2 linked regions of the Nothobranchius furzeri genome follow. The protein of the gene in region 1 binds, or shares a complex with, the protein of each later gene. Links are inferred from orthologs where the notes say so. Each region holds a gene or a part of one and is shown on either strand. Other genes may lie near its edges.

Region 1 (5,003 bases):
GATCATCATTTTAACTTTTAAATCCCGTGTTATTTTCCCTTCATTTTTGCACACAAGCCAAACTCCCCAGGAAGGGTTGTAACACCACTCACTTCACGCACATAAGTGACCAAAACAAAGCAGCATAGAGACACTCTGTCTCCAACCACCTCTCAGGCAGCAGCCTGCACTCCCAAGTTCTACACATCACCAGAACATAACCAACCAACACAATAAAAGCAGTGTTATACAAAATGGAAGGCCTGTAGTGTTTATTCTCTTACAGTAACAATTTATCAGTTTTTTGAGGAATTTATTAGATTTTTTGGTTTTTATTAACTGTGCAATAGAAAAATAATCATTAGATTAATTGTCTAAATAGTCATTAGAATAGTCGACTATTCGATAAAATAATCGTCAGAATAATAGTTTTAAAAATAATAGTTTACCCCCAGCAATCATATCAGTAGTACATATATAAAATAATAATCACCAGTCTGTGATAAACACACACACACACACACACACACACGAGAATCCATCACATGACCACAAACTATCAAAAACTGTTTTCTGAAAAGACAACATAATTGTTGCTGCAATAAATTGTTCAGCCTTTGTTCTTGCTAACTGTTCTCCCTTTTGTCTGGTACAAAGACCACTACAAATGATTTAACACTGAAAACAAACCTGAATTTAGGCACTGTACAGGTCAGACTGTGTTTTCACTTTGTTTAATGTTTATTTATCTACTTAAGAAGAAATGAGTTGTCAAATTTAAAGCCTGCATTATAAATGTATTCACGCATCATGACAGTTTTCTGTAGCATCGTTCAAGCTGCAGCAAACACACAAACACAAAGAACAAACACACTCAACATTGGCAGGTTGCCAGATCGTTTGGTTCTGACCTTCTTTTCCACCCCACAGCTGCTGCCAAATTTGAGGCCGTCCCTCCATCGCTGTACGACACTGACACAAGGAGAGCGATCAGCCAATCATGGCAGGCTATTTCCCAAACTCATGTGTGTGTTACCATCCATCAGGCAACATTCCACAAAAGCAGTAGTAAATAATAACAAGGGGGCTAGCTCTACCCCACACTACAGCTTGTCCATGGGCTGCTTTGAGCTCATTACTGGTTTATCACAGTTAAACACATTTACCTCCCTGTGGAGGGTTTCTATCCCACTGCTTCTGCTCTGCCAATTCTGGTCCTTTAAACACAGCTTCAAGCACAACTTTGAAGATCCAAAGAAATTCTCAGTTCCTAATCTGAACAACGACAGATCCGCCCTTCGGTTCGAACTCCAGGGATGATCTTTGGGGAGTGGGTAAGAGCCAACAACAAGAAGGAAGAGTGGACACCAGCTGGCTGCAAGGGTGAACTTAACGACCTCTGTTTGGGCACTCTCAACACGAAAGAAAACTAGCTAGCACTGTTAAAGAGATTGTATTTTCTTGAAATCAAACCAAGCTGAAATTATTTTCAAGGTTTATTTTCAAGAAGGTGCAACCCCCCAATCTAAACATGTGAAGGCTGTCCTAAACAACCACGAGCCAGAGAGGAAAGGTTAACATCAGTCCCACGTTTATACACATGTGATCATGTGGCCATAAATAAAATAGAATTAACCTACAACTCTACTGAATCACTGAATGCTTAATTAAAAAAAACCTATACACACACGCATATATATATATATACTGTTATTAAAAATAGATGGAGACACGTGGAAAACATGCAAGACCAATAACAGCTATAGCAAAATGACTCCTCACATCTTGTAGTTACATTTTATTTAATTGTAGAGTAGCACATAAGCACTGTTACTGTGCTTCATCTACATATAAGTGGACTGACAGAATTGTGCATTCAACACAGTCAGATCACAACAGACAAATAGGAAATAGTGGCAGTAATTGCACTTTTTTCCCCATTCAGAATGTAAAGTAAGGATAAATAGGCAGCTCTAAATAAAAAATTGCCTCCAAAACATTTTTTGAAGCTGTGGTTATATGGTATTTGACAACATCTAATAGCAAATCAAATGGTGTAAGTTACACATAAAAAAACATGACATTCTCTTTGCAGTAGATCTGTATACTCACTCTAGTTTACGGTGGTTTTTATGTAATCAAAATAATGTGTCATGGCCGTATTATCCCATTACCCACAGAGTGTTTTCCCTCCCGTGAATCACTGACAAACCTATAACGTTGATGATTAGCAGTCAAAAACACACAAAGCTGTAAGCGACTTTTAGTATATTATAATGCACTAATTTGATTACTAATGTCATCTTTTCGTGGTGATTTCTCCAAGCATCACCACACAACTCAATAACAATCCATATCGGGTCAGATCACTAAAAAGTAAGCGTGAGCAAAACCAGCTTTAAATTGAGATAAACCGAACATGCAGAAAGTGAATCGCTTTCACGATTACTAAAGGATAAACATCACGCTGTCCAACAACCATTTAGGACGCCAGTTTAACTAGAAAAGACAAAAATGCACCGTACTACATCGTCAGCATCGTCATATCTAAAAATGATGCTAACATGAGATTTAGCCTAATTTAAGGTTATTTGTGAGCGACAGGTTACGAATAGACAAGCGAACATTATGAATGAATGGAGAATACTGATTCACCACCGCAGCATTTAAAGAAGTACGGTCAGTATAATGCTTGACTGACGGTGGCTAACTCAGCTAGCCGGGGTTAGCATGCTCAAGGTAGCATTAGCAGCAGCAATCTCAGTGACAGAGGGCGGACAGATGGCAACGTTGCATGGAACAAAACAGCCCGGATAACAACCGTTACATGGTTCCTACAACCCCGAGCCGAGCCACACCACAAGTCTCGTCACTGCCTGTTCATTCCACTAGAGTCACCGAGCCTAACCAACGAGCTTATATTGTACTGGTCAACCGCGTTTTTGCGCCGCAGAACCAGGTTGAGCAGCGCGGTGGATCGAGCAAAGCAGCCGAGAACACAAGCGACCGAGGCGGGCTGCGCTCCGCCTTTTTAACCGTTTGGAACCAAACGTCTCTACGGGAAAATCCCAACACATACCGATTTATTCGCAGGAGCGATAGGAGATCCTGCCAGTTTAAAACAACGGGTGTGCTTGTTGGTGCCTTTTCTTACCTGTTACCGATGAATAGTGATAAATCGTGTCCTCCTCTGCAGCTCTCTTTCCCCTCCTAGCTCCAAAATGGCGCCAACATGCATAGATTCAGAGCCCATGGGTACAACCCATCCGTGAGTGAGCAGCGCCACCTATAGACGAGTCCACGCAAGTCGTTCTGCTTACATCATGTTTGAATTCAGATTTTTGTAAAATAAAACTGTTTATGAATGGTTTTATAAACAACTCAAACCTTACCTTGTTTAGTGTTTGGGTGTGTAAAAATGATGAAATATTTTATTGAATAAAAGCAACTGCACATTATTTAAATAAGAATACATAGTTTCCTAAAATGTTCAATAGTTTATTATATTTTTCATCAATCTGTTTATTTTTCAGGAGCGCAAAGATGAGCGAAAACCTAAAATTGCACAAAAGATTGTGTATAAATACACTAATAAACCATAGTAGTTTGCCTCGCCTCTGTCAGTGCGCCCCAGGGCAGCTGTGGCTACATTGTTGCTCATCCCCACCAGTGTGTGAATGGATGAACTGTAGTGTAAAGCGCTTTGAAGTCCTTACTGTGAGAGGCGCTATAAGTGCGGGTTGTTTATCATTTAGTTGAACCAAAGTTTTTTATTATTATTCTTTTGAATAAATATAGCTTCGGAAAACAAACACATGTTTTCATTGGTGCAATATATATGTTGCTACTGGTTATTTTCTAAAATCACATTTTAAAAATAACCCTTTATGCATCCTGTAACATTTGTTTTCCTTTTCATAAGTTTATTGGCTACTTCTATTATAATAAACATATGTTTTGTTATTGATTTTAATTTAATAAAAATTAATTTAGAATATTCTACAGAGATTCATTTTCCAACATATTTTCATTGTGTCAAATGGAAGGTGTTTTACAGATGGTTTTGTCTTTTTCATAGTTTTATGGACAGTGTGAACTATAGGGGGCGCTCCAATACAACGTTTCTGATTTACAGACATTTGAGCCTAAATCGAGGCTGCGCAGTGGTTAGAGCTGTTGCCTTGCAGCGAGAATGTCCTGGGTTCGCTTCCCGGCCTGGGATCTTTCTGCATGGAGTTTGAATGTTCTCCATGTGCACGCGTGGGTTCTCTCCGGGTACTCCGGCTTCCTCCCACAGTCCAAAAACATGACTGTTAGGTTAATTGGTCTGTCTAAATTGCCCCAGGTGTGAGTGTGTGTGTGTGTGCATGATTGTTTGCCCTATGTGTCTCTGTGTTGCCCTGCGATGGACTGGCTCTCTGTCCAGGGTGTACCCCGCCTGATTGCCGATTGCCCGCTGGAGATTCCCACCCCCTCCCCCGGCGACCCCACAAGGGCAAGCGGGTTCAGAAAATGAATGTATGAACCTACATCCTTTTGAAAATTTTTAATTACTTATGTCAGAATTACACAGATTTTGTAAAAGCTGCAAAAAGTTTAAAGGTTACCAATGAACATCAGAGACATATAATTTAAAAAAATATATCTGAAATTATTGTTAAATAATTACTAAATTATGTATTTTGTGTGTTTAATTAGAACCTGCACACCTGGGTGTCAATTAACCAATTAAAGTGGCTTGATGGTAACTGCATAAATTCTAAAAGGAGGTGCTTGGATCGGTTTCTTGGCTCTAGGATGGAGGGGTTCCTGCACACGTTTCCGCCCTATAACGCCTATGGGAACCCGGTGTGCGCTCCCCCGGCTCAGGGCAGCAGCTGGGGGAAGAGAGAGGGCCGCTTCATGATCCCTCCGGGCCTCAGCTACCTGGAGCTCTGCAAGACCATCCTGTCCCAAGTCAGTCCCGGCGCACACCCTCCTCCCCCAGCCAGAAAGGAAAACACCAAAGAGTGCGGCGTGCAGGT
Region 2 (4,742 bases), on another chromosome or scaffold:
AAAGCCAAAGAACTCCAGTTTTGTCTCCGTTTTAGTCTTTTTTACCTTTGCTTGGGTGGGTCTAAACCTAAAAGGATTAATTTATTAACAACAGTAAATTTAGAAATAAAGTATTTGTCCAATCTCTTTGAAACAGACTGAATACTAACATCACAACTTTATGAATCATTTTAAAATGCTGACAGATAAAAACACATCTTACCGAGTAGATTTAGGTGGCTGTGCATCAGACTTCTTCTTCATAAGCCCTGCTTCTCCAAGGTCAGCGGGGGTAGCCGGGGGGACTAACTCATCAACGCTCCGCTCAATTGAGTCCTGGATAGTAACGTTGCACACTGACACGCAGGAGGGATGCAGAACTGTGTAGTCTCGCACCCTCCCACCACCTCTGCCTGCAGGCTTAGCTGCTGTTTTAACACTGGCAGCAGTATTAGTTGCACTAGCAGAAAGGACACTGTTGGTTTTATCTTGAACACTCGCTATGTCGGTCAGCTTCTCGTTGTCGTTTTCAGCAACTTCAGATAGAATTTTATCAGGCCGACTGGGCCGCTGGTATTTCTTGCAGTTTGAGGCTCTTAGAGTGAATGGCGATGGGGGAATGTTGTCTACTGGCTCTGGTGGAGGCTCCATGGGCACCACCATCTTTAGTTCCTCTGATAAAGATCCATCACAGGAGGAAGGAGTTTGAAAGTGTTTGCTACCTCCTGGCGCATCAGCTGACAGTTTGAGGGAGGAGTCTAAACCAGAAGTAGAGGAAGCAGCTGTCTGCGACACGGAGATGTTCTGGTTTTGAGAAAGAACCGTGTCTGAAAACGAGGTCGGGCATGCTGGTTTCTGATTGCTTTCTAATGCACTTTTGTACCAGGGCTGGTTGTTTTTAACATTCTTCTCTGATGGTTGGTTACCTAAAAGTGTAAAGAAATTTATGAGTGATCATAGTAAAAGACCAGGACTAGAGGCAGACTGATATGTTTATATTTATCTAAAGCTGATTATTAAGGCTGATATATGTATGTGTATATATATATATATATATATATATATATATATATATATATATATATATATATATATATATATATATGTATATATATATATATATATATATATAGATATATATGTATATATACACGTTTTAGCAGCACAATGATTGTGAAAGACACCTGAACATTCACTGTGTGCAATATATAATACTCTCAATATTTATTGAACTTCAAATACAAAACAAACTCAAAATATTAAAAAAAAAATTAATAAATAAGTGTGTTGGGGTCCTTTCTTCAGCCTAGTAGTGGCAGTAGTTGGCCACACAGGTGCCTGATTGTTTTTTTGTTGGCTTTTAAAAATAGTTTCGGCTAATGGCCGATACAGTACAGAAAAAATTTAATATATTGGCCCGATATATAGTTTGGTCTCGAACCAGAACTGATAATATAGAAGTCACAACTGAGTGTAAGAATTGGAATAAAAAATAGAGACAAAGATAGTGAAAAGAAAATGATGCAACATAAAACATTTTTTGTCACTCACTTGCGAATGTAGCAGGTATACTTGCAGAGCCTTGTGTGGCAGTCACAACAGCAGCAGTTACTCTACTTTGCACTTGAGCAGTTTCTGTCACCCCCTCCTCTATGAGTTTCGCACCAGACTCACTGTGAGAGGCTACAGTTTTAGACTCTTCATCGCTGTCAAACCCAAATGGGTCTTCTTCATTGTCACTGTCCTCAAGCCTGGGTCTCTTTGAGACCTCAGGGACACCGGGTTTTAAGAGAGGCCTTTTGGTTCCCAGCTGAGCCTTGTATGTAGTTTCTCCCCATTTGGTGGACAGAGAGGGCTTTTTATTGGAAAAGACTTCTTCAAACTTTGAATTTGCCTCCCCTCCCTTGCGGTTGTATGTTTTACCAAATCTTGATGTCATGCTGGTTGTTGTTTGTTACATATTCTCTGTAAATAAAGGTAAAGACCATTCAATATTTAACACATGCATTAAGTTAACAACATGATCATTTGAACCTTCACATACAAGCACATCTAAAAGAACAAAAATGATCTTAGATGTTTTTAAATTAAGTTTATGAAAAAAGCTGCATGTGTCACAAGATGCTTACTAGTTTCTTTTTCCAAATAATGTTCAGACTTCAGCTGTTATCTCAAACTTTTTCTTACTCTGGTTAAAACTGGGGTCATTTATGCGTTGAGGGTAAATTAAAACACATTTTACAAACTATAAACAACTAGACTTTTATTTATAGAGAGAATTACCTAAATGTCAACAATCGATCCATTCGTTCTTTGACTTTCTCACAAAAAACTACCCGGTCTTGTTCGTTATCTTATTCTGAAGGTCCTAATGGGATTTCAATGTATATGTCCTAGATAAGTTTTATAACAAGACACTTCAGAAATCGATATATTTACTAATGTTATTGATTTTACTTGCTAACCGACAGGTAAAAAAATATATACACTTAAAATGCTTTCAAAATATTGCCTGCAAGTTTTAGTTGAGTCAACTGATAGTTGCTAGCATACAAAGTTAGCATTGCTAGCTCTAGCTTCGAATGTCGTTTGTCTAGGTTACACGAGAGAAAAAGGATTTTGATAAACTTTCATTAAACTTGGGAGTTAAATACACGGCCTTTTGTCACACATTAGCCGTGTAGGTAACTTGTCTCTGCCTGATAACTAGTTAGGCATGCATGTAAAGTTAACTACTGTGAAGTTAGCTATTAGCTTCCGCACAGCTAACTACGCTAACCTGACTCTTGTTTACATTTCTAACATGGCTCCATTTTAAGCATGAAACTCCGTATTTCAAACACGACCAAGCACCCATAAGGTAGCTTTTAGTATTGGCATCTAATATGATATTCAGTATAAAGCAAAAGCAAAGAAGACTTTCTACCTTTCAACTCCAGCTAATCGTCTCGTCTCCAGACAGCCGGCGAGGCCTAACCAGCTACTCACGCACAAATCAAGCGGGTAAAGTCCGTTCAGAGCAACGGAAAAGGCACTACAAACACATTTCTAATTTAATGATGTTTTAGATGTTGCGTTTATTGCGAAAGAAAGGCGTTCTAAAATGTATAGGAAGCTGTACTTGTCTAAATATAGCTGATAATCCGGAGTTTTTGTATTTTTTAAGTGCAAGTGACGGCCATTAAAATATCCCCTCCCTCCTCGATGGTTGGAAAGACATCCTAATCACGTACTACATTGTTGAAAAAAAACTGTCCAATCAGCAGCAGGAACACTCCCCTGTGCCTCGAGACTGTGTCAACATACGCGTCTCTGATTGGTTTAAATTTTAAAGTAAAACCAGGCTGACAGGGGGCGCTGCAGGATCACGTTCAGTTTTAAAGTTGGACACCGTGCCGAGTAATGCAGGTAACGATGCTACATGCAGAAAATTGCTAAATTGGGGTTTAAAGCTTGCAAATGGTTTTAAACCATGGTGATTTTACTCTATGGTAGATGTTTTTTTCAAATATTATTAATGATGAACTATTGCCCACCTAGGGTTGTAAAACAGCAGTCAAAAGAGTAAGTGTTGGTTACCTAAAGTTCTTTGATTGTTTTGTTTACCAAAATGCAAGTCATTCACCAGAACCACTCTGTAGGGGGCACAACTGGAATATAAATACAACTTAAGCCCTGGGTCAGCAAGACAAAGTGGTCACAACTACATCAACACTAAAATGACCATCACTCATCCTAGACATACATGATAACTCCTTCAGGTCACAGGTCCTCTGTGGAAACGACTCAGAAAGAAGGTGATTCTAATTTCACATGAGCGCCGTTCAAAAAGTTATTTAGGACTTAAAGTTGTATTATTCCTCACATGAAGAAAAATAAATAATGCATTTTCTGTATATGAAAGATAAATATGTTGTGGGATCTCTGTTGTCCCCCAGAAGCGAATGTGCACATTAAAGTGGCAACACCTTTTTAAGGTGTCTGGTTTCCAGAAGAGTCATAGATCACAGTTTGACCAAAGATTTTCTCAGTCACAGAATTGTTTTTGTAACTGTCCAACATTTACTAAAAACATTGCTGTATCCAAACGGTGTTAGATTCACATATTTCTGGCATTTGTCTACAGCTAGACCCAGAGAGGAGCTGTCAGTTCACATCAGGGTCCCAGAGATGGTGATGCAATACAGACATGGCATGTATAATGAACTCGTGGTTTGGCAGTCTGGCAGTTATGACTTTATTTGGAGGAAAGCTTGAGTCCAGTTTTTAAAATGTGTGTGATAATCTGAATATTTTGTAGGCTTTGATCAAATAAGTCAGGGATCTGTGCCACGGTAAAGCCAAATAACAGAGTTTAGTGTCTGCTCCAACCTTTTGAGACTGAATCAAGATCCGTAAAATCGACAATTGCAACTCTGAGACAGAACCAGCAGATGGCAGCAATACTAACGGTTTCTCATGTATAAGCTGAGCATTTTCCCCTATTTAGTGTCTACTTAGGCTGCATTTCATGTTCTGCTTCTGTTTCCAAATACCTAAACTCATCTAGTGCATATTGCATTGTAAAAAAAAAAAAAAGAATGTCCAGTGAATTCCAAAAATAATATCTGGTCATTAATCATGGAAGCTAACCATCAACGGAAAGCCCCTCTCTGTAGTAAAGCTTCCAAATGGAAACAAAAAGATGGATGACCGTCCAATGGTTGTTAAGAGACTTGGTCTGCAGCTCAAATGTGAAAACTGGGAAGCAAACTGCTGAATCC

The links. Proteins that work in one complex are often made in the same cells at the same time.
Region 2: the proteins of pds5b (region 1) and wapla are in contact, whole or in part, in a crystal structure (PDB 5HDT), measured with the Homo sapiens proteins. The link is inferred for Nothobranchius furzeri from reciprocal best matches to the Homo sapiens genes PDS5B and WAPL. Residues at the interface, in NP_055847.1 of Homo sapiens: Gln47, Phe88, Ala92, Pro93, Ala95, Trp137, Val138, Lys139, Ser140, Asn142, Ile143, Phe145, Glu146, Glu187, Gly188, Asp189; in NP_055860.1 of Homo sapiens: Lys7, Thr8, Tyr9, Ser10, Arg11.

The regions. Positions count from the first base shown.
Region 1 is NC_091750.1:62,006,285-62,011,287, forward strand, and holds the start of pds5b (sister chromatid cohesion protein PDS5 homolog B), read right to left. Parts: upstream 3,242-5,003; 5' UTR 3,134-3,241; intron 1-3,133. Other genes in the region: zar1l (protein ZAR1-like), read left to right, coding at 4,777-5,003. UniProt on the Homo sapiens protein: Regulator of sister chromatid cohesion in mitosis which may stabilize cohesin complex association with chromatin. May couple sister chromatid cohesion during mitosis to DNA replication.
Region 2 is NC_091752.1:29,580,320-29,585,061, reverse strand, and holds the start of wapla (wings apart-like protein homolog), read right to left. Parts: upstream 3,119-4,742; 5' UTR 2,906-3,118; intron 1,945-2,905; 5' UTR 1,919-1,944; coding exon 1,531-1,918; intron 906-1,530; coding exon 203-905; intron 68-202; coding exon 1-67. UniProt on the Homo sapiens protein: Regulator of sister chromatid cohesion in mitosis which negatively regulates cohesin association with chromatin. Involved in both sister chromatid cohesion during interphase and sister-chromatid resolution during early stages of mitosis.